Linked DNA regions of Mus musculus. The protein of the gene in region 3 interacts with the protein of the main gene of each other region in a pairwise test. Links are inferred from orthologs where the notes say so. Each region holds a gene or a part of one and is shown on either strand. Other genes may lie near its edges.

Region 1 (6,685 bases), on a different chromosome or scaffold from region 3:
GACCCAAACCCAGACCCTTTGCGAGAGCAGTCAGTGCTCTTAACTGCTGAGCCATTGCCTTAACCACAAGGTAAATTTTAAATATTTTTTGCTCTAACTTTAGAAGGCTGGCAAAAGGCATATCTGAAGTATTTAAGGCAAAACTAGAAAGAAAAATAAATGCTGCTTTTGAATTGGGTGCAAATGGTGGTCATATCAAATGAAATAGCACAGACCCAGAACATAGCATGCATTTGCTAATCTGAGTAGCTCCTAGGTTTTATATAGCTATATAGCTACATAAAATCACATATGTACTACATACATATGACACTAAAGCTGAAGCAAGATTATCTGGTGGAAGGAACCAAACTAGTGAGTGAGAAAGAGAAAAAAGGAGGGCATGTGGGGGGGTGGGGGTGGGCACAGCAGTACACGACTTGAATTCTAGCTCTGCAGGCAGAGGAAGGTGGGTCTCTGTAAGGTCAAGGCTAACCTAGTCTTCCTAGACAATTACAAGTTAGCTGCAGTGAGACCCAGTCTCAAATTTAAAAGAAATTGGGGGGGGGGGCGCTGGAGAGATGGCTCAGCATTTAAGAGCACTGACTGCTCTTCCAAAGGTCCTGAGTTCAAAGCCCAGCAACCACATGGTGGCTCACAACCATCTGTAATGAGATCTGATGCCCTCTTCTGAGGTGTCTGAAGACAGCTACAGTGTACTTACATATAATAAACAAATAAATCTTAAAAAAAAAAGAAAGAAAGAAAATGGGGGAGAGAATAGGGAGGTGAATAAGATCAAATACACAGTAAAGCTTGAAAAATCTGCTAAACCCATCCCAATATACAATGAATATACACCAATAGAAATGAGAGATGCATGGTAGCATACACTTAGAAGGCAGAAGCAGGAGGATCTTTATGAGTTTGAGGCCAGCCTATTCTACCTAGTGAGTTCCAGGACATCCAGTGGGACTGAGTCAATGAGGACGATGATGGTTTCAGGTAGGCTAGGTTCACAGCTCAATTTGCAGAGCGCCTGCCTAGTACGTGCAAAGCCCTGGGTGTGATCACCAGCATAAAACAGGCATGGTGGCAATGCACACTTGTAAAACCAGCTCTTTGGAGGTGAAGGCTGGAGGATCAGAAACTCAAGGTATCCTCAGCTACATAGGGAATTCGAGCCAACCAGGGGTACAAAAGAAAAGAAGAGAAGAGAGAGAGCTTTGTCTCTTGAAGTGTGGTTTATCCACTAAAACAGGTCACTTCTAGGATACAAGGAATTCTCTATTCCATGGCCTGAAAGATGAAACTGTATGTTTCCAAACAAACATGAGAAAGGCAAATGCAGGCAGCGGTGAGAAGCACTGTGGGCCATCTGGAGGAGGCTTATCCTGGTACTCCCACCCATCAGCCACCCTAAACCCCTACATGGGTCTTACTTACGCATCTCCCAAGAAAAGGTTGGGCCAGACCTCATTGATGTGGGTCAGTGTGGCAGTCCGACGGACCCACAGCAATCGCTGCAGAGAGGCCAGTGTGGGTGGCTGGTAGGGGGACACCTGGACTGCCCCATGAATCTTTGGCCTCCGAAGTTCCTGCTTCTGTAGCGAGTCCATTCTGGGAACAGAGTAAACAGGACAGTAGCTGGAACAGGCTCCCCAAGCGTGGGTCCAGTGGACAGGGAGACCTGTGTTGCAGTACCAGGAGCCAGTGGGATGCTGTGGGGGCCAGCCTCAGCTATGCTGAATGAGGCTATTACCCGGCTCAGCTGGCCTGGAACCTAGAACCTTTTCCCTGGGAACAAGGAGAACTAGAACTCTCTTGTCAATTCCATGGCGCTAAGCGTACCTTTCCTGAGGCAACGGATGTTAGAAATGTTGGTCTTAGGGACCGTGGGGAATCTCTGTAGGGCTAATCTGTGCAGACCGTACCCCTTTAGTCACTGGAAACCCCAGCTGGCGGAGGCTCTTGGAGAGGACCTAGGATGTCCCTCCAAAGCCAGGCAGCTCATCTGTAGCTCCCACCCTGGCTGTTTCTAAGGCTGATGCTAGAGGAGGTCAAAGCACTGTCCAGGGTTACAGTCCAGCCACAAGTGGGCATTAGTCAGCTTGTTCACACCAAGTGAGCTGGTGTCGCTCATAAGCAGGCTGTATCCCTTGTGCTGTGTTCCATGTTTCACACTGACACCAATGACAAATGACAAATGGCTAAAGACTACCCTGAGCTTGATATCCAGTGTGTGCCTTCAGTTCATTCCCCAAGCCTTCCAGTTGCCAGAGGGTGGTCACCAACTGATGTGTCTCCTCTAGGGAGCTGTCAGGGATGAGCTACACATCCACTTACAGGCCCCGGGCTTTTTTCCTCCTTACCCTTGTGGTTCAGGCCAGTACACCTGTACAGGCCTCACCCGGAAGGAGTGGGTTATGTCTGGAGTCATCTGGCTTAGTCCATCTGGGCCCTTGCAGAGCTGAGGTGTCAGAGGCACCAGAACCTGAGCCTGGTACCTTAGAGGGAAGGGGAACCTACCTTGGTCAACTACCCCTGGTCCCCTCAAAGAGTAACTCGAGTAGGTACAGACTGGGTAGAATGCCTTTTCCCTCTGGCAGGCACTGCCAAAACCAGAAAAAGAGATGGGCACCCAGGAGGCCACTGGCTTGGCCACACTCACCCAGCCAGTGGATGATGAGCTGGGTGGAAGAGAGGGCCGGCCTTTCTCCCTCATCCCCCTCTGTGACCTCTCTGGCAGGCTGAGTGGCCTGCCACCTACCTAGGGCATGGTCTGGGGCCAGGAATGGGGGACTAGGTGCAGGGGCAGGCTGAGTGGAACAGTCCTAAAGCAGGTTCCATCCAGAACACAAATGCTGTTATGCGCCTAGAATTCCAGGTCCATGCATGTGAGCCAATGGGGATGTGGGGCAAGATGAAGACAGACCTGAGCTGCGGGGACAGGAGCAGTGGCCTAACATCTCTCCCTGGTGTCTCTGCTATTGAAAACACTTGTCCTGAAGATGGGGACCACCTGAAGAGATGCCTAGGGAACAGACTCCCCTTAAAATTTGACAAGGATATATCCTGGGACCTAGGCAAGTTTTCATTCCTATCTGGGCCTTAGTTTCTTTTCTCTGCTCTCTGGTATTCTGCTGGCTGCAAGAGAAGGGAATGACGCTATATGAAGTAACACCAGGGAAAGGAATATTAGGGTGGAGGATCTCTGAATCCAGGGAAGTCCAATAGCCACTCTGGCCTGAGGCCACCAGCTAGACTCCTCCAGCTATGAGTGGAACTAGACAGGGATTTCGGGAAACCGTAGGCCCCTCACAGGCCTGCTCAATTTGGCATGGGGTAAGTCTGCCCTCTAGTGGCCAGTGGCTGCTAGGCAGCCCAACTGTGTCCCAGGAGCTCGGTGGTGGGGATTAGGGGATGTCCTTAACTTCCCTGGTCTAACTCAGACCTGTAGGAAAGATTTTTCTTAGACTTAGGGTTTCCTGGTCAGGTCCTACTTAGGGCTATATGTAGCCCAGCTATCTGCTCTGGTCCACTGAGGGTTCCTTTCACCTATCAGAGCCAGGCCCAGCAGCTCACTCAGTGAGCCATTCCTTAAGCTTTAGGCACCCCCCCCAAAAGAAAGCCCAGGGATTCTGCTACCCCCTGGTGTAGGGAGGGCCCAGCTATGTCAGAAGGAGCCATGGCTGAATGTCTTGTAGGATCAGGCCCCTGTTCACATTCATGATAGTCCTCCCGTGGCTCTCTAGTGCTACCTGGCTTCTACTTCCCTGAAACTTCAGCAGAGAAGTTGCTTCTGTCAACAGTGGCTTTCTTGCCCACACTGCCTCTGTATACAGAGCTACACATACTTACCTTTTGTTGGCACTAGTAGCATCTCTAGCTTGCTCTCTGTTGTCTGTCTTTCAGTTTGTCCCAGGATAGCCTTCTAGAATACCACCCTGCATACCTCGGGCCTTGCTCAGCAGCCTGGGACGTGGCAGCTGTTTGCCACCTACCTCTTTAGCTGTAACCTCAGAACACATTTCTCCTGGTCTCCTCTGCTGTTCCCTCTCTGTCTCCCCTCTTCTCTTAGGGAGCACAGACCAAGTGGGGCTAGCGTTCTCACAGAAGGACATCGAGGTGTCTGGGAAAGAGACTTTGGCAGGTAAATGCCAAGGGCAGACTGCAGTGGTCTCTGCCCAGCCTGCATCCCTGGAGGGAGACAGACCTGTGTGGGAGTCTGTGAGCCTGAGTCTTCACCAGGAGCTGCTGGGAGACTCTCATGACATCATAAGTGAGATGCACCTCCCAGAGGCCCTGCATCAGGGCAGGTGCCACATAAATGAGGCATCACGTTATGGACATTGCTCCAATCAGTCTCATCCTTTCGGGGCTCAGCCAAGACCTATAGAGGGTAGATTGCTATGGCCTGTGGAGTTTTCACCTGGATCTCTGTGTTTCGTAATTATATTCCCAGCTTGAGGAAGTACGTTACAGACCAGACAGAGCCCAGGACTCGTGTCTTCACGCTGAGTCCACCCTGTTCTCTCACGAAGCAGGCAGTATCAACATCCCCACTTTCCAGATGAGAAAAATCAAGCCTCAGAGAGATAAAAGCAGTTTGCCCAAGGTCACACGGTGGCGAGAGGCAGGGTTCTGTGCCTCTACCTCTGACCCATTTGGAGTCCCCCAACCCAGTCCTCACAGTTGCCCACACAAGCAGGCATAGATGCCCTGGGCCCCAGTACCCAGTATTCTCAGGGGTCTCTGCTTAGGGTCGTTCACCCACCTGTGGGGAGATCCTGACCGGGCTGTAGTCTTCTCCGACCCACAGCTTGTGCCGCTGGATTCTAGCCGCCTGGCTCCGCACACCTGATGCTGTTTCTATTTTTTTATTTGAGTTTAATTATAAAGCATGCTGTCGTCTCCCTTTTGCCTTTCCTTGCCACTCCCAACTTGTCCATTGGTCCCATGGCCTGGTCAGCCCTAGGCTCAGCCAGGTACTTCCTCCTTAAACCCAGGCTGTGCAACTGTACCCAGCAACCCCATGGCTGAGGCCCAAACCTATCCTCACCCTTTCTCCTTGTACATGTATCCTTAATGTTCAGGATACAGGAAGCTCAGAGGGTTGCCTGCGGTGTGTGGGATGAGTGTATTTGGGTAGCTGGGTGGGGAAAAGGAAAAGCAAGCAAACCACCTTAAAAATTCCCCTTAGAGCCTGAATGGTGGCGTACACCTTTAATCTCATCACTCAGGAGGCAGAGGCAGGGGCAGAGACAGGCAGACCTCTGAGTTCAAGGCCAGCCTGGTCTACATAGTGAGTTCTAGGCCAGCCAGATGTTTTAGACAGTCACAGTAAGACTTTGTCTAAAACACAATACAACAAAACAGAAAACCACCTCTCTAGGACTGGGTGGTGGTGTTCAATGGTAGTGCACTTATCTAGTGTGGTTGAGACCCTGAGTACCATTCCAGCTTGCCCCAAATACCTCCCAACCCCCAAATCCCTTGGCTTTCAGAGGTTACTCAAAACTAGGGCAGAGATAAAGAGCTGATGGGATCTATGCTGGAAGACACAGATGAGACTATGTCAAAGCACATACTAGAAGGACATCAGAGCATAGGTCTAGGAGCCTCTATTTCAGGGTGAGAAGTGCAAGCTCACCATCTGGCAGGTTCCGGTCAGGCACAGACAGACAGACAGACAGACAGAGCATAGACAGACACAGCTGTCAAGGGACTATGGAGCAGGTCTGTGCACTCAGTGGCTTTTATCCAGGAGCAGCTCTCCCTCCACTGCCCTCTGTCTCTCCCTCAAAGACAGGTGCCCCAGGGGTCTGCCTAGTGAGAGGCCACTGGATTTGAGATTAAAAAGTATCCTTTTTAATCCAGATGCTCTAATCATATACCCATACAATAATGCTCTCTAGCACTACCAGATACACACACACACACACCCTCAGCCTTATGTCCACTGAACTCCTTGAGCCTCAGGGAGAGCCGGGGAGAACACTGAGAACCATTCTCCCTGACCCTATCAGAGGACTTGGGGACCCTGTCACAAGAGCCTCAAAGACTAGTTGACAGACAGCCCACTCCCACCTGTGGAAACTGAAGACAGTGGCTGAGAGGGCACGTGGAATGCTGGAGGAGGCTGTTGGAGTGGCGGGTTCGACGGTGAGCGCCACGCTGGGCCCTTTTCATCTTCTGGGCGTCCACTTGGGCTAAGGCTGCCATCAGGGCCAGGGCAAGAGTAGCAAACTGGCAGAGCCTGGCGGCAGAGCGGAAGGACTGGCTCTGGAGGAGAGAGAACCTTCACACTACAGGCAGGTAAATGAAGGCCTAGGCTGGCTGGCACTTTAGGACAGGAGCAAGGGCTGTTACCTAACCCTGTATCTGTCACCTCTCCGTTCTCTGCCAGGCTGAATGGGTACACGTACAAGGAGAAACTGTGAGGGTTGGCTTGCTATCCCTGGCTTATGGAGAGAGATAACCCCACTTCACAGCCCCCTCACTTCAGGGCCTCAGCCATGGGGTTGCTGGGTACAGTTGCACAGCCTGTGTACTGCAAATCTCTGAGGGCCCTCATGACACGGACGATTCTGTGGATATCATGACAAATTGTGCAATGTTGCAGCCCTGCTCAACCCACTTCCCCCAAAGCAGCTGTCTGATGGGCAAGACACTGAGGTCAGAAGTCAGGGTGTCTGATATCCCA
Region 2 (6,556 bases), on a different chromosome or scaffold from region 3:
GCAGCATGCTGAGCAGGAGCCTCGGTGCGCATTAGTAGTCCTTCTGCTTTCACTCTAGACAGAGGAGCAGTCATGGTGGTGGCTCCGATGCAGACCACAGTATCCCTCTGCATGAGGGGTTGTGTCATGATTGCTGCAAACATCCTTGCCTCACATCTGGCTGCTCACTTCCGGACTCACCTGGACACGCCCTCATTGTGCTGCTCCGGGTGTTCCGTGTTATAACATGAGGCTCATTAAAAGACGGTTAAAGTGGCCTTTTCTTTCCTGCTTTTGATCGTTAGTGTTAGGAGACCAGACTGAGCTATCAGCACAAGGAAGAAGAGATGGTAAAACTGGCACACTGGTAGCAGCTTCCATCCTGACAGTAGCAGTTGAAGCCCCAAGAGGGCAACAGAAGGTCCCAGAGAGTAAGTAACCAAAGTGGAAACACTGGAGTAGAGGCAGCGGAAGTTATGAGAACTAGATGCTGAAGAGTTTCAGGAAGCTTCCGGGCCTTAAGCGATACTACTAGCCATTGTAGGAATGGAGTGTCACAACTGTAGTCCAGCAGATGTTGTCTTCTGGTGGCACTCACAGCTGCTGGACGAGGGGCATTACAGTATCTGGCAAATGCTTGCCAAATGGATGCTAATAGCATCTGACCTGAGCACCCAGAGCCATGCGTCACTAGCGTCTAAATCAGGAGGCCTAAGTCCCTACCTCTCAGTGTCTGGAACTGTCATCATCTAACGTGCTAGTCCAGGCCTTGGACACTCAAGGGCCTGGGAACTTCTACTCATGATTTCTATCCAGCTAGAGCAAACTGACCCCAGTCAGCTGACAACATAAGGATCAATAGCGAAACATAAGGATCAATAGCGAAAATGGCAGATCTGAAAGGCATCGTTCCTTATGCCTGTAATCTCAGAACTCAGAAGGCCAAAACAGCAAGATTGCCCTGAGTTCCAGGACAGCTGTTTGGGAACTCTGGTCCCTTACTTCTCAAAAAAAAAAAAAAGGGGGGGTGGGGGGGTTTGTAGGTAATCAGCCTCTCCACATTCAAAACAGTAATGTTTGTTTGGCTTTTACCTCTGCTCATTTGTCCTACTATAGTATTTTTCCAGGTATAAGAAACCCAGACATGGGCTGGTGAGATGGCTCAGTGGTTAAGAGCACTGACTGCTCTTCCAAAGGTCCTGAGTTCAAATCCCAGCAACCACATGGTGGCAAACAACCACCCGTAATGAGATCTGATGCCCTCTTCTGGTGTGTCTGAAGTATACTTATGTATAATAATAATACAGTATACTTATGTATAATAATAAATAAATCTTTAAAAAAACCAGATATTTTCAGATTAATACTTTCTGCTCTCTCTTTCCATCTCTACCCTCAGTGGCAAAGTACACTTAATTACAAGAATTGCTTAGGGCTGGCGGGATGGCTCAGTGATTAAGAGCACCAACTGCTCTTCTGAAGGTCCTGAGTTCAAATCCCAGCAACCACATGGTGGCTCACAACCATCCGTAATGAGATCTGACGCCCTCTTCTGGTGTGTCTGAAGACAGCTACAGTGTACTTACATATAATAAATAAATAAATCTTAAAAAAAAAAGAAAAATAGGAATAAAAGTGAGAGAAAGAGAAAATGAAATGTTCATCTAACTTCTATTCTTTTTTCTAGCTATATGTATGTCACATACATATATGCATAAATATAAATACATATATAGACTACAGTTTAGTTTTATCTCATACATACGGTTTCCTGTATTAAATGCAAATTTTATGGTTGCTAGGTAGATTTATCATATAGGATCACAGTCTGTATTCTCACCCTACTGACAGATGTGAGATTTTTACTCCTATGAGGTCAACCATAATAAAGTGCTGCCTTTCACATTGCTGGGCTTTGCCTTTGATCTGAGCCAATGCCCAGACACTATTCCCAGTTCACCTCACTAGAGTGTGATGTCAGTAAACTTTCCAGACACTATATGGTCTACAAACATAAGCAAAGGGCCACACTTGTGAATAGAGTCGATAATAACGTAAGGTCTTCACTAAAGAGTTTTCCTTTTAATTTATTATTATTATTGTTGTTGTTGTTTCAAGTCAGGATTTTCTGTGAAGCTCTCGCTGCCCTGGATTCACTCTGTAGACCAGGCTGGCCTCAAACTCAGAGATCTGACCGCCTCTACTTCCCGGGTGCTGAGATTAAAAGCATACACCACCACTACCTGGCCTTTTTTTTTTTTTGTTTTTGTCCATATTTCTTAATAGCATGTTTGTAGTGCTATATTACACTATCCTCCCACTTTCGAGACCCCATAACCTGCCTGCCGTTCAGCACCAGCACTAGGTCAGCTAACGCACTGGGAGGAATGACATTACATTTACCTAATGTATTTTTACCTGATATACTTTTCCTACTAGAGATTTGTTCCCCACAACACCGAAGGGAATACTGAGGTCCCGATTCATGTCCTCACCAATGCAAGGCGACCCTACTTACCCTTGAAGAAGTACAGGAAGTGCACATCTGAACAGCAGTGAGGGGGTGGTTTCCATCCTACTGCACTGCACAGAGGAGCTTAGGTCGACTTTGAGGCGAGGTGGAGCCTGACGCTGCAGGAAACGGCGATAGCCATAGCCTACAGGAATAACCATGGGGTGAACTCAGAGGCAGGGGGCTCAGCCCGCACGCATCCGGTTGTGGGCAGGAAGCGGGGCTGAGCGCGGGGAGTGCGGTCCTAAGGCAGCTCGCCCGGTCCAAGGGCCCACCTAGGCGCCCCGAGGATCGTTCCCAAGGCAACAGAAGGCTCTCAATTTGCGCTTGCGCAGCCTCTCGCCCCGCCCCGGCCGGGATGACGAGGGGCGGGGCCAGGGGGCTGGCCTCTCCGGAACCTGGAGTTGTAGGGAGATCCTAGGGTGGAAGTGTTAGCCGAGTTCTGTTCGGGTCATCGGGAAAGGTGAGCGCGCGCTCAGCGTGCTCAGATTCCTTCGGTGACCGCAGCTTGCCCCGAGCGCCCCTTTCGGGCGTCGGGCTCCGGCGTCCTGGCTGCCGGCGCTGTGGCCTGGCTGCTCCTTTGGGCAGCCTGGCTGGTCGGCAGGCTCGCCGCGGACTTCAGCGACGCCCCTTTCAGCGCTGGTAAAGGTCAGGGGGCTGAGCGAGTGTGTGCGGAGCTGGGGCGGAGGTGGGGAGCACCCGCGGCGCCTGGGGTACCCGAGGCCGGAGGAAGTTAGCAACAAAGGCCCTGTGCGCCCTTCCCTCCTTGTGATCTTTGCTGGGGGTCCCATCCCGGGCTTCAGAGCCGGGCTTTGTCTTTCCAAGGCGGGACTGGCCACGCTGTGACCCAAGTACGAAACAAGTACAGCAAGCCACGAAGTATCTTGGGGTGCTTATGGTTCCCCTGAAGATGCCTTGTGCTGCCTGAGAGGCAGTGAACCCTCGGCATCCAGCGAAGTGTGAGAATGCCCAAACAGCATGTATGGGAGAAGGGGTGAGGTGATGTGTTGTGTGACATACTTCCCAGGGACACACGCACGCACGCACACACGCACAACCTGCTCACTCCAGAAAGGTAACCTTTGTACCAGTGTCCAGTTTGGTAAACCAATGATTTTTTTTTTTTAATTGGGGCTACTATTAGAAATATGGGTGAGGGGCTACTTACTAGAAGCAAGGATAACTCAAAAGAAGCTGCATCAGTAGAAAGATAAAATGGGTGAGTCCTGAAAACTGCAACCCTGGAGCTCACTAAGCGACTTCCAGACAGCTCTTCAGTCCTAACACTAGTTTCCCCCCTCCCATCTCTTTTTCTCTGCAGTTTGCCCCCAGCAACTGTTGACTCGCTTTTATATTGTAGGACCCTCAAGCGTCTCCCAACTGCTTATTCTCCTGGCTTCATGTTGCTGAGTAACAGGTTTATCAGTGATTCACACTCTTATTTTAATGTTCTTCCCACACATTTCTTGCCAGTGTTTTAGAGCAGGGTACCTGGCTACTGAACCTTTAGGGTTTGTTTGTTTCTTAATATTTGATACTTGAGAAATGGTCTTTCTTGGAACTTGGTATGTAGACCAAACTGAGTGCTGGAACCAAAGGTGGTGCCATCTCACCAGTCTTGAACTTTTAGTCACTGAGTAATAATAGTTTTAGTGAATCATTTTATGAAGATTTCTGCTTATTCCAAGTGTGTAAGTGAACTCACTGAATCTTCATGTGCCCCTCATTTTCTTGCCTTTTTTTTTTTAAAAAAAAAGCCTCTCCCAACATCTTCACAAAGTATCAGTGTACAATCTTCCCAGACTTGTAGACACGGGCATAAGAATACAGAAGTTGCTGTGTTGCTGTATCACGTATCAGACATGATTTAGTGAGCCAGAATAGTGTCTTAAGATCACATGAACAAGCCGGGAGTGGTGGCGCACGCCTTTAATCCCAGCACTCTGGAGGCAGAGGCAGGCGGATTTCTGAGTTCAAGGCCAGTCTGGTCTACAGAGTGAGTTCCAGAACATCCAGGGCTACACAGAGAAACCCTGTATTAAAAAAAAAAAAAAAAATCACATGAACAAAATCCTTTGTGTATGGAGCACTTTTTTGACTGCTTCTACATGTATTAAATGCCTGGGACAGCCACAGAGAGGCCTGGTCTACTTCAGAGGCACAGCTATTACATCATGGAAAGCTGACAAGCCGACTCCAGTGGCAGAGATTCTCAGCCTCACTGATGTACTGCCAGAAGTAGATCTCTATGGAGCTCAACCTGCGTACATTTAAATTTTTTAAATATTTTTTATTAGGTATTTTCCTCATTTACATTTCCAATGCTATCCCAAAAGTCCCCCATACCCTCCCCCCCACTCCCTTACCCACCCACTCTCACTTTTTGGCACTGGCGTTCCCCTGTACTGAGGCATATAAAGTTTGCACGACCAATGGGCCTCTCTTTCCACTGATGGCCGACTAGGCCATCTTTTGATACATATGCAGCTAGAGACAAGAGCTCCGGGGGGTACTGGCTAGTTCATATTGTTGTTCCACCTATAGGGTTGCAGATCCCTTTAGCTCCTTGGGTACTATCTCTAGCTCCTCCATTGGGGGCCCTGTGATCCATCCAATAGCTAACTGTGAGCATCCACTTCTGTGTTTGCTAGGCCCCGACATAGCCTCACAAGAGACAGCTATATCTGGGTCCTTTCAGCAAAATCTTGCTAGTGTATGCAATGGTTTCAGCGTTTGGAGGCTGATTATGGGATGGATCCCTGGATATGGCAGTCTCTAGATGGTCCATCCTTTTGTCTCTGCTCCAAACTTTGTCTCTGTAACTCCTTCCATGGGTGTTTTGTTTCCAATTGTAAGAAGGGGCAAAATGTCTACACTTTGGTCTTTGTTCTTCTTGAGTTTCATGTGTTTTGTAAACATTTAAATTTTTTACCTTGCGCTGTTAGGTGGTTAGACTTTTCTAGCAAGTAAAGCCGACTAGAGTAGTTATTTTCTAACTATTTAAGATTTCTCTCCCTGTGTGTATTTTCATTTGTAATGTCTTGATTTTTATAGGTGTAAGGGCCACTTGTTCTGAAATTATTTTAAGGCAAGAATTTTTGAAAGATGGTTTCCACAGGTAGGTTGCCCACTGATTTCTACTTATATTAAACAACTGCCTAATAATTATGGATAAACTGAACATTTGTTTCCTTTTTTTCTTTTTTTTTTTTTTTGCTTGTTTGTTTTGAGACGAGGTCTCATATAGCCCAGACTGGCCTCAAACTTGCCATGTAGCTTGGGATAACCTCAAACTCTTGATCCTCCTCTCATTCACCCCAGGGCTGAATTACAGATGTACGCCACTGAGCCTGGCTTTCTTAAAGTTACAGAGTAACAGATTTGTCATATGTGGTTCATATATTGAAGTGATTAAATGATTAAAATAATGGTGGATTAATAATTGCTTACTGTGTACATATATATGTGTAATTTTACTTTTAAGAAATGAAAGACGAGCCTACAGTGGTGGCCACGCCTTTAACCCGAGCACTTTGGAGGCAGAGGCAGGCGGATCTCTGAGTTCGAGGCCAGCCTGGTTTATGAGTGTGGTTTATTTTCCATTTAAGTAGTTACTAGATTGTGTGCTATTACTTCGAGTTTACTGCTTCTATTTCTTCTTTGATACCAGTCTTTTTCCTCCTCCTCTTCCTCCTCTTCCTCCTCTTCTCTCCCTCTTAAAGATTTATTTATTTATTTATTTATTAAGATTTATTTATTTCATTTATATGAGTACCCTGTAGCTGTCTTCAGACACTCCAGAAGAGGGCATCAGATCCCATTACAGATGGATGTGAGTCATCATGTAGTTGCTGGGATTTGAACTCAGGACCTCTGGAAGAGCAGTCAGTGCTCTTGAATACTGAGCCATCTCTCCAGCCCTAGTCTTTCTTCTTTCCGTGCTCCAGCTTCACACTTTGCTCTCACTGGCTCTGACTCCTTGGTCTCTCATGATTCAGTCTTTAATTGCTTTTAATTAGGCATTCAGAAATTTTACTGTACATCTTTTGAAGTTATAGTTAAGTC
Region 3 (8,297 bases):
TGAAAAGGCTGGCTCTCGCAATGCTGTCCTTGGTGTCCCTGGCCCTGGAACAAGTCTGCAATTTTTTTTTTTCTTACCTGAAGCACGGTGGCCTTAGGGACAACCAACAGGATGTCAGAGCCTCCATCAGCCTCCTCCAGGGTCACCAGCTCATCCATGGGCCTTGGCTCTCGGAACTGGAAGGGGGGGCTCTGCCCACACACCCGGCCCTGGCGGTTCACATACCGGAACTGGTAGAGTTGGGCTCCTGGTTTGGGCAGGTAGCTGGCTGTGGGAAGAATAGCCCAGAAACCCAGTATGATCTCTGGCTCTCAAGTGCTAACAGGTTCCTGTTCCTATTGAGGAGGACGAGTATCCCCATGCTACCTACTGTCCACTCCCTTGTGGCGGTCCTTGGGATACGGTCCTTCCTCCTTCCTGTCTAGACACCTGCTTTATTCATACCCGGTCTTCCTCTTCATCACATTGACTCTAGCTGGCACTGACTGTCTGCTGGCATGCACCACACACCACACATTCAGCATTCCCCAGGTCATGTAAAAATCTCTGTAGGGATCCTACAAGCTGGGACCCTATTCTAACTTACCTGCTCAATGCCAAACAGCTTGTAAAGCAGGGAGCTGAGATTTGAATCCAGGTCGCTCAGACTGCTATTAGCACACACTTTCCCTTGTCCTATACTGGGAGTTCCTCTTTCGTTGTGTAAATGAATGGGATTAACATCCTCTATCTTTCTACAGTATCCTCTAAGTTACCGGTGCCGACCCTACGATAACTTGCTGAACTCTGTTGGACACAGTCTCACAAAGTCTTTTTTTTTTCCCCCTTTTGGAGACGGGGTCAGCCATGTTGCCTAAGCCAGCATTGATATCCTGGGTTCACGTTATCTTCCAGCCCTAGCCTCCTTGGTAGCTGGGATGACATTGGAGTACCATTAGGCGTGGCAATTAGGAGTTATGTGCTCTCATATTCCTTATCCTCTGTGCTTTTTATGGCTGTTAGCCCTCCGCCTTCCCCCAAACCACCACTTTTTTGGCTTCTCCATCTTTATTTTTTTTATTTTTTATTTATTTATTTTTATTTTTTGGCTTTTTGAGACAGGATTTCTCTGTGTAGCCCTGACTGTCCTGGAACTCACTCTGTAGACCAGGCTGGCCTCGAACTCAGAGATCCACCTGCCTCTGCCTCCCAAGTGCTGGGATTAAAGGTGTGTGCCACCACTACCCGGCATTCCATCTTTCTTTATACCTTGGAATTGGACACTGGCATGGGTGGGGGAGCCATCAGTTGTACTTTCTGGCACTGAGGACCACACGAACGTGTGATAATCTCGAACGCAGGCAGCTTCCACCTAGAAGAGAAAGGCAGGATGACAGAGTTATCGGTGAGAAATAGAAGGGTGGGCAAGGGCAGGACTGAACAAATGGTACCAAGGATGCTAAGACTCAGGTAAGGGGCTGGCGAGATGGCTCAGCAGGTAAGAGCACTGACTGCTCTTCCAAAGGTCCTGAGTTCAAATCCCAGCAACCACATGGTGGTTCACAACCACCCGTAATGAGACCTGATATTCTCTTCTGGTACGTCTGAAGTCAGCTACAGTGTACTTATTATAAATAAATAATAATAATAATAGAGTCAGGTAAGGTTGGAGGACATTATACTACCAGGAGAGAGATGGGCAAAGATGAACTTTATACTGACTGCCTCTGTGTCATCTTTCCCCCTATCAACCTGAGAATGTAAGGACTTAGCCACTCCTCATAGTCTAACCAACCTGTGTCCCATAATCTTGAGCTAGAAGAGGGTCTAGGGATACCTTAAAAATGCCAATCCAGTCACTGGCACTGGGCATGGTACCCGGAGGCAAAGTGTAGTGACATTCCACCTTGGTGTTGGGGATGTAGGTGCGGGCCACATTCAGGAAGTTGACTCCACCCCGGGATGGTGCCCGGCTTAGTGATGACTCTTCCATGCTGTCCTCAAGATGGCTGATGTCCTATGAAAGAAAGGGTTGATAGACTTGTTTTTCCATTGCTTCTTTCCTTTGACCCCTGTGTGCCTAACCCACAGTCCCTGTCACTAAACAGGTTTCCAGGCCCCCAAGGTTGTGGGACCTTTTTAAGGTATCACTTTTAATTCCTGGGCCATAGGTCTTCCAAGTCAACTTCCTACCCTGTCATGTTGTATCCTCTTTGGCTTACAGGCCCTCACCTGTCTAATTTCTAATCCTTTTCATTGCCCCACTGACCCAGCATCTCGGTCTCTGCCCATCTCTGTCTCTCCCTTTCATCTCTCAACATCCTTGGGAATTCCAGATTCTTTTGGTTTCCCGATGTAACTGACCCCCTATAATGTCTGGCTCTAAAATTCAAAATCCAATGGAAGTGTGGGCCTCTCTCAGTTTAAGCAGGTCTTGCTTACATATGCCTAAGCTTGTTCAACCTTCTTTACCAATCACGATGATGGGTCTTCAGAGGGGACTACGGTTTGGGGGATCAACAACCTAATCCTGGGTCCTCTGCTCTTGGAGCACCTGCTCTTGGGGGCACCGATCCGTGAGTTGCCTATCTCGATCAACTCTAGGGAAGCAGAAGAAGGCGAGCTTTGGCTTTCCTCCAAGGCTAGAGAAGGGGAGGATAATAGGAAAGACAGGTTCTGTCCTTCAACTTCTATTCCAGGAAATCAAAACTTCTGGAGGTGGCAGTTCAAGGGTGGAGTGAAATATTCAGTAGGAAGGTGGTGGTGTGCAGAGATGGAATGTGGGGGCCTGGAGCCAGGAAAGCCCCGCCCTTAGGCAGGGAAACAGGTTAGAAATAGGGTAAGTCAGGGGCCCTGAGAAGGGGAAATATACATTCGGCGTTGAGAAAAGGCAGAGATCAACGAGAAACATTCTCCCCCCCCCCACCCCCATCTTGACGGGAGCAGAGCTAGAAAGCTAATGATTTGTTTGGGTGTTAGCCCAGCTCCAGTACCCTATACCCATTTTCTTGTTGGCTCCTCTTAGCCTCAATTCTAAGAGTCCAAATCTTGACATATGTTTGGGTTAATGGCAGGAGATAAGCAGATAAAATGGAGTTAGCTAGGGAGAACTAATTGGAAAATAGATAATAATAATAATAATAGCAACAACAACAATCAAGAGTTCAGGGGGTAGAATAGTTGGGTGGGTAGAGGTGCTTGCCACCAACTCAAGGTTGGGAGAAGAGAACTGATATCCCCAAGCTGTGCTCAGACTTCTGTACACCTATCTTCACACAGACACAGACAGACAGACACACACACACAGAAGTAAAAAAAAAAAAGTTAAAACAGAGTAGTACTCAGAGATGAATAAGAACAAAGTATGGATGGTGTACATGTTTGAAATGAAACTCACTGTATATTAACTTAAAAAAAAAATACACCTCAGTCCAGAGCGGGGAGGCAGCCCTTTTCTCTAGCCCACACATCTGCTTCCTGTGTCAGGTGCAGCTGATGTGTCCAATCAGACATCACCACTAGTCATATGCACACCCCCAAACATCACAAACCCACACCAGGCTGAGACAGTGGGGGAGGAACTTTAAAAGAAATTAAACACTCCATGGAGAAGGAAAGGTGGGCCAGCAATGCAATAGGAAACAGTTTCTTTGTCGGCTTTTTTTTTTTCATCTATGAAAAATCTCTCATTACAGCTACTCCGTGTTTTCTTCAATATAAGTCTTCTTAGGTTAGAGTGAGATCTGTCTCTAAAGTTCTACCCGTTGAGAACCCCAAACCCCTCCTTTCCCACAAAGACAATCTGTAACAGCTGCAGATATTCTTCAGAACTGAAAGTGTATGTGGTCAGATGCTGATGTTCAAATGCATTCTCTCTCTCTCTCCCTCTCTGTGTGTGCGTGTGTGTGTGTGTCCCCTCTCCACTGTAGGGCTCTCAGCGTTTTGGCGTTCCACAAGTTGGAAGTTTTCCCCTCAGGGATTCAGCGTAGTAAAGGCCTTTGGATCTTTGGATTTGGGTAAGAGAGAGAAGGTCTGTGAGGGCAAAGACTTGCCTGGAAAAGATTAAGCAAATATTTCAGTCCCTTCAAGCTTCCATAATCGGATCGAGCTTTACTGAGGAGGCCCCGCAAGAAAGTGAGGACAATGCGGGCTACTCCTCAAGGCCCCCCTTGAAACCAACAAAACCGAAACGTGGGGGAGGCTTCCTTAGTGCGTAAAGTATTAAAACCTAAACGCTCCTACCGTCCTCTTCTACAGTTCTCTCGGATTAGCCTTTCGCAGGCTGAGAAGCGGGCTGACCACCCCCGCGTAAGCCCACCCTCAGTTAGGCCAAGTTTCTTACCCCACGGACGGATCAGCTGTTCCCCTCACCTTTCACCAACAACAAAAACAGCACTCCGACTATAGGAGGGGAGGGGAAGAGTGACGCGAGAGCTTCTGGGGCTTGTGGTTCTTCTATGACTCGACACTGTCTACTTTTCTACCTGTGGAACTACATGTCCCAGGAGGCTGCGCGCGAGGGGCGGGGAAGAGGGCGGGGCGGTGATGGACTCAGCGTGGCATCCCGGGAGATGTAGTTCTTACTCCCGAGGCAGTTCAGGAGGGTGTGTCTTCCAAAGGACTTCACGGCCCATGATTCCTTAAGAAAGGGCAGGCTGATCTAGTGGAGGCTGCTGGTTCGTAGCATGCTTAGTGGGAGAGTTGACGGCTTTAACGCGTTCTGCACAGCTCTTTTCGGTGGGGCGGAACGCTTCCAGCACAGCCTTCTTGTTCGCTTTTACAAGATAGGCTGTAGTGTTATATCTACTTACAAAAGAAAAAACTTGTCTAAGGAATCCTCTAGGGTCAGGGCTATGAAACTGTAGAACTCTGCCAGGCCTCTCCCAAGCTACGAGCTACAGCCACCATGTTGTGGGTGGGGAAACTCACAGGGGTGGTAGTGGTTATTTATTTTTAGCTTGTTCTGACTTCAGGGTTGACAGAGCTTGTAAAAGTCTCAAAGCTTACTGTTTGGTTCCAGCTTGAGAAGATTTCCATGCCAAGGGGTCCGATAACACACACACACACACACACACACACACACACACACACACACACATACCACACCTGCACGTGCTCCCCCTGGAGTGGCTTCTGGGGCTAGGATTAGGGGACATAGCTTGAAATGGTGGCTAGGCTGTGGAATGAAAAGCATGCGGTTGAAGAGAGAGCTTGGCAGGACTGCCACAGCTCACAACAAGCTACTTAGAGAGGCTTGTTTGCCCAAGCCTTTTAACTGGCTTAAATTAATTAGAGCAACAATACAATTGTTGCTATAGGGTTGTTTTTTGTTTGTTTGTTTGTTTTGTTTTGTTTTGATAGGCGAAAGAGTCACACTGTTCCCACACCGCAGTCACTTAAGGACTTGAACCGTCCTCATCGTTGTGGGTGGCCTCCAACCCTGGAAGAGTTCAACCCCCCCCCCCTTTCTCAATATTAAAGGATTAAGTGAGATGTAATGCTACACACCTATAACCCTAGCAATTGAAGAGGCAGAGGCAGGGAGATCCTGGAGATTTCGATTCTGACTCAGGCTACACAGGAGACCCTGTCTCACAAATAAATAGTTATGCCGGAAAGACAGCTGTCCTCTCCTGGTTGGGTCCATTCTAATTATCTGTGGCAGTAGGTTCTGGCGGCGCCTCTTCTTTTACTTTTTTTTTTTTTTTGGTAGTTTTTTTTTTTTTTTTCCTTTTAAGATTGAATAGGGTATTTGATGCTGTCCTTGGGTGCCTTTCATTTGAAGATCTCCAAGCATTAAGTCACTGGGCTGCACAAACATTAAGATGACATGTCTGTGTCATTAGTCAGGATTTATGAGTTAGGGCACAAGCTGCTGGATGGGGAGATAGTTCAAGGTCCTGGGTTAGCTACGAGTGAAGCCTGTCCAAAGACTCAAGTCTCAAATGTTTATTTTGTCTGCATTCAGAATGAAAGCTTGTAAAAATCTCAGTCTCAAATAGAGCTAAGGTAATAACAACTTCCATGTTTGGGATGCTTACAGCGTTTTTAAACAGCCATAACGTATGCCCTATTATCATCCCCATTTTACGTGTAATGAGAGCAACACTCAGACAGCTGAGTAATTCGTGAGGTTAATCCAGCTAAGTGGCAGAATCAGGGTTCAAGTTCCAGTAGTCAGCACTGTATTAATGTGGCTTTAAATTCTGTTGTTGTAAGAAGCAGTGTTAGTCAGGGGATAAATATTCACTGAGCTCTTATGTGCTCAGTGAAGGCACGTGGCAACGGGAAGCCCCATCATTCAACAAGTATGTGTTAGTGTTATGCCGGATGTTCCATATGTCTCACTAAAAGGGTAAATACAGATACTGAAGGATATATTTGATTGGGTTAGTTTGTCAAGATGGGGATGGGGTGGGGGCTGGAGAGATGGCTCAGCAGGTTTTTTTGGGGGGGTGGGGTGGGTTCAAGACAGGGTTTCTCTGTATCGCCCTGGCTGTAGACCAGGCTGGCCTCGAACTCAGAAATCTGCCTGCCTCTGCCTCCAGAGTGCTGGGATTAAAGGTGTGCACCACCACTGCCCAGCATGGCTCAGCAGTTAAGAGCACTGACTACTTTTCCAGAGGTCCTGAGTTCAAATCCCAGCAACCCCATGGTGGCTCACAACCATCTGTAATGAGATATGATGTTCTCTTCTGGTGTCTCTGAAGACAGCTACAGTGTACTTACATATAATAAATAAATAATAAAAGGATGGGGACCAGGTAGAAAAAGGAAACTTATTCTAGGTTGAAGCCAAGATTCAGAAATGGGACTCAGTGATGCTCACCGGAGCCTAGAGAGGAATTCAAAATGGCACATTCCCTTGAACTTAACACATGCATCATAGCAAAATGAAAACAAAACTGCAGAGGTGCTGGGTTTGATACCCCGCATGGCATAAAGTGGAGCATGGTAGCATATACTCATAATCAACTTGGAGCCAGAGGCAGAACTATCAGGTGTGCAGGATCATCCTTAGCTACATACCCAGTTTAGGAGTCAGTTTTAGCTGTAGGAGACCTTATCACAACAGAAGAGGCTGGCGAGATGCCCCATCAAGTTAAAGCACTTGTTAAAGAAACCTAGTAATCTGAGCGCAATCCCCAGCGCCGTTTGGAGAAGGAGGATGAGATGGTGTGCAGCGTTTCTTTTCTTTTTCTTCTTTTTCAAGGTTTATTTATTTATTTCATGCATGTGAGTCCACTGTCGCTGTCTTCAGACGCACCAGAAGAGGGCATCCGATCCCTATCACAGATGGTTGTGAGCCACCATGTGGTTGACTGGGAATTGAACTCAGGACCTCTGGAAGAGCAGTCAGTGCACCTTAACCGCTGAGCCATCTCTATAGCCTGACATGCAGCATTTCTGTGTCAAGATGGTCAATTGCCCTGACCCTCACAGGCCAGCTAGCATAGCAGAGACATCAAGAGAGATGCTGAGGGCTGGAGAGATGGCTCAGTAGTGGTTAAGAGCGCTGACTGCTCCTCCAGAGGTCCTGAGTTCAATTGCCAGCACCCACATGGCGGCTCACAACCATCTGTAATGGGATCTGGTGCCCTCTTCTGATGTGTCTGAAGATAGCTACAGTATAATAAATAATTCTTAAAGATAGAGATAGAGAGAAATGTTGAAAGTCATCTTCTGACCTCCACATGTAATAGTGGTACCCATGCCACCTGAATTCACACACACACACACACACACACACACACACACACACATACACACACACACACACACCCCACATGCACACACTAAAAAATACAAACAAAAATTATTCAAATATGGCTTAGAAAATGGCTCAGTGGTTAAGAGTTCTTGCTATTCTTCCAGAGGACCCAGGTTCTATTTCTAACAACCACATGACTGCTCACAATTCTCTGTAACTACAGTTCTAGGATATTGATACCATCTTTTGACCTCTGCAAGTTCCCACACACACGTGGTGTGCATGCATAAATGCAGGCAAAACAGTCATATGCATAAAATTATCATTTTTAAGTGAAAAAACAAGGGGCTGGTGAGATGACTCAAGGATTATGAGCACTGACCGCTTTTCCAGAGGACCCAGGTTTGATACCCACACAGTAGCTAACATAGTAGCTAACAACTGTCTGCAACTCCAGTTCCAGGGGATTTGCTCCTCTCTTCTGGCTTCCCAGGGTGCCAGGCACTGATGTGGTATACAAACATACATGCAGAGAAAATACCCATACACATAAATGATAGATAAAATTATTTATTTTTTTAAGATTGATTCATTTATTTTATGCATA

Evidence for each region.
Region 1: the proteins of Calcoco1 (region 3) and Dusp13 interact in binary tests that used the Homo sapiens proteins (3 or more experiments, as listed by UniProt). The two-hybrid records come from large-scale screens. The link is inferred for Mus musculus from reciprocal best matches to the Homo sapiens genes CALCOCO1 and DUSP13B.
Region 2: the proteins of Calcoco1 (region 3) and Cep19 interact in binary tests that used the Homo sapiens proteins (3 or more experiments, as listed by UniProt). The two-hybrid records come from large-scale screens. The link is inferred for Mus musculus from reciprocal best matches to the Homo sapiens genes CALCOCO1 and CEP19.

What each region holds. Positions count from the first base shown.
Region 1 is NC_000080.6:21,738,679-21,745,363, forward strand, and holds the start of Dusp13 (dual specificity protein phosphatase 13), read right to left. Parts: upstream 2,821-6,685; 5' UTR 2,705-2,820; coding exon 2,352-2,704; intron 1,765-2,351; exon of another isoform or gene 1,600-1,764; coding exon 1,426-1,599; intron 1-1,425. UniProt on the Homo sapiens protein: Dual specificity phosphatase that dephosphorylates MAPK8/JNK and MAPK14/p38, but not MAPK1/ERK2, in vitro. Exhibits intrinsic phosphatase activity towards both phospho-seryl/threonyl and -tyrosyl residues, with similar specific activities in vitro.
Region 2 is NC_000082.6:32,096,053-32,102,608, reverse strand, and holds the start of Cep19 (centrosomal protein of 19 kDa), read right to left. Parts: upstream 2,821-6,556; 5' UTR 2,498-2,820; intron 1-2,497. Other genes in the region: Pigx (phosphatidylinositol-glycan biosynthesis class X protein isoform 1 precursor), read left to right, coding at 3,040-3,139, 5,546-5,609. UniProt on the Homo sapiens protein: Required for ciliation. Recruits the RABL2B GTPase to the ciliary base to initiate ciliation.
Region 3 is NC_000081.6:102,717,726-102,726,022, forward strand, and holds the start of Calcoco1 (calcium-binding and coiled-coil domain-containing protein 1), read right to left. Parts: upstream 4,454-8,297; 5' UTR 4,322-4,453; intron 1,997-4,321; 5' UTR 1,973-1,996; coding exon 1,817-1,972; intron 1,352-1,816; coding exon 1,249-1,351; intron 269-1,248; coding exon 78-268; intron 1-77. UniProt on the Homo sapiens protein: Functions as a coactivator for aryl hydrocarbon and nuclear receptors (NR). Recruited to promoters through its contact with the N-terminal basic helix-loop-helix-Per-Arnt-Sim (PAS) domain of transcription factors or coactivators, such as NCOA2.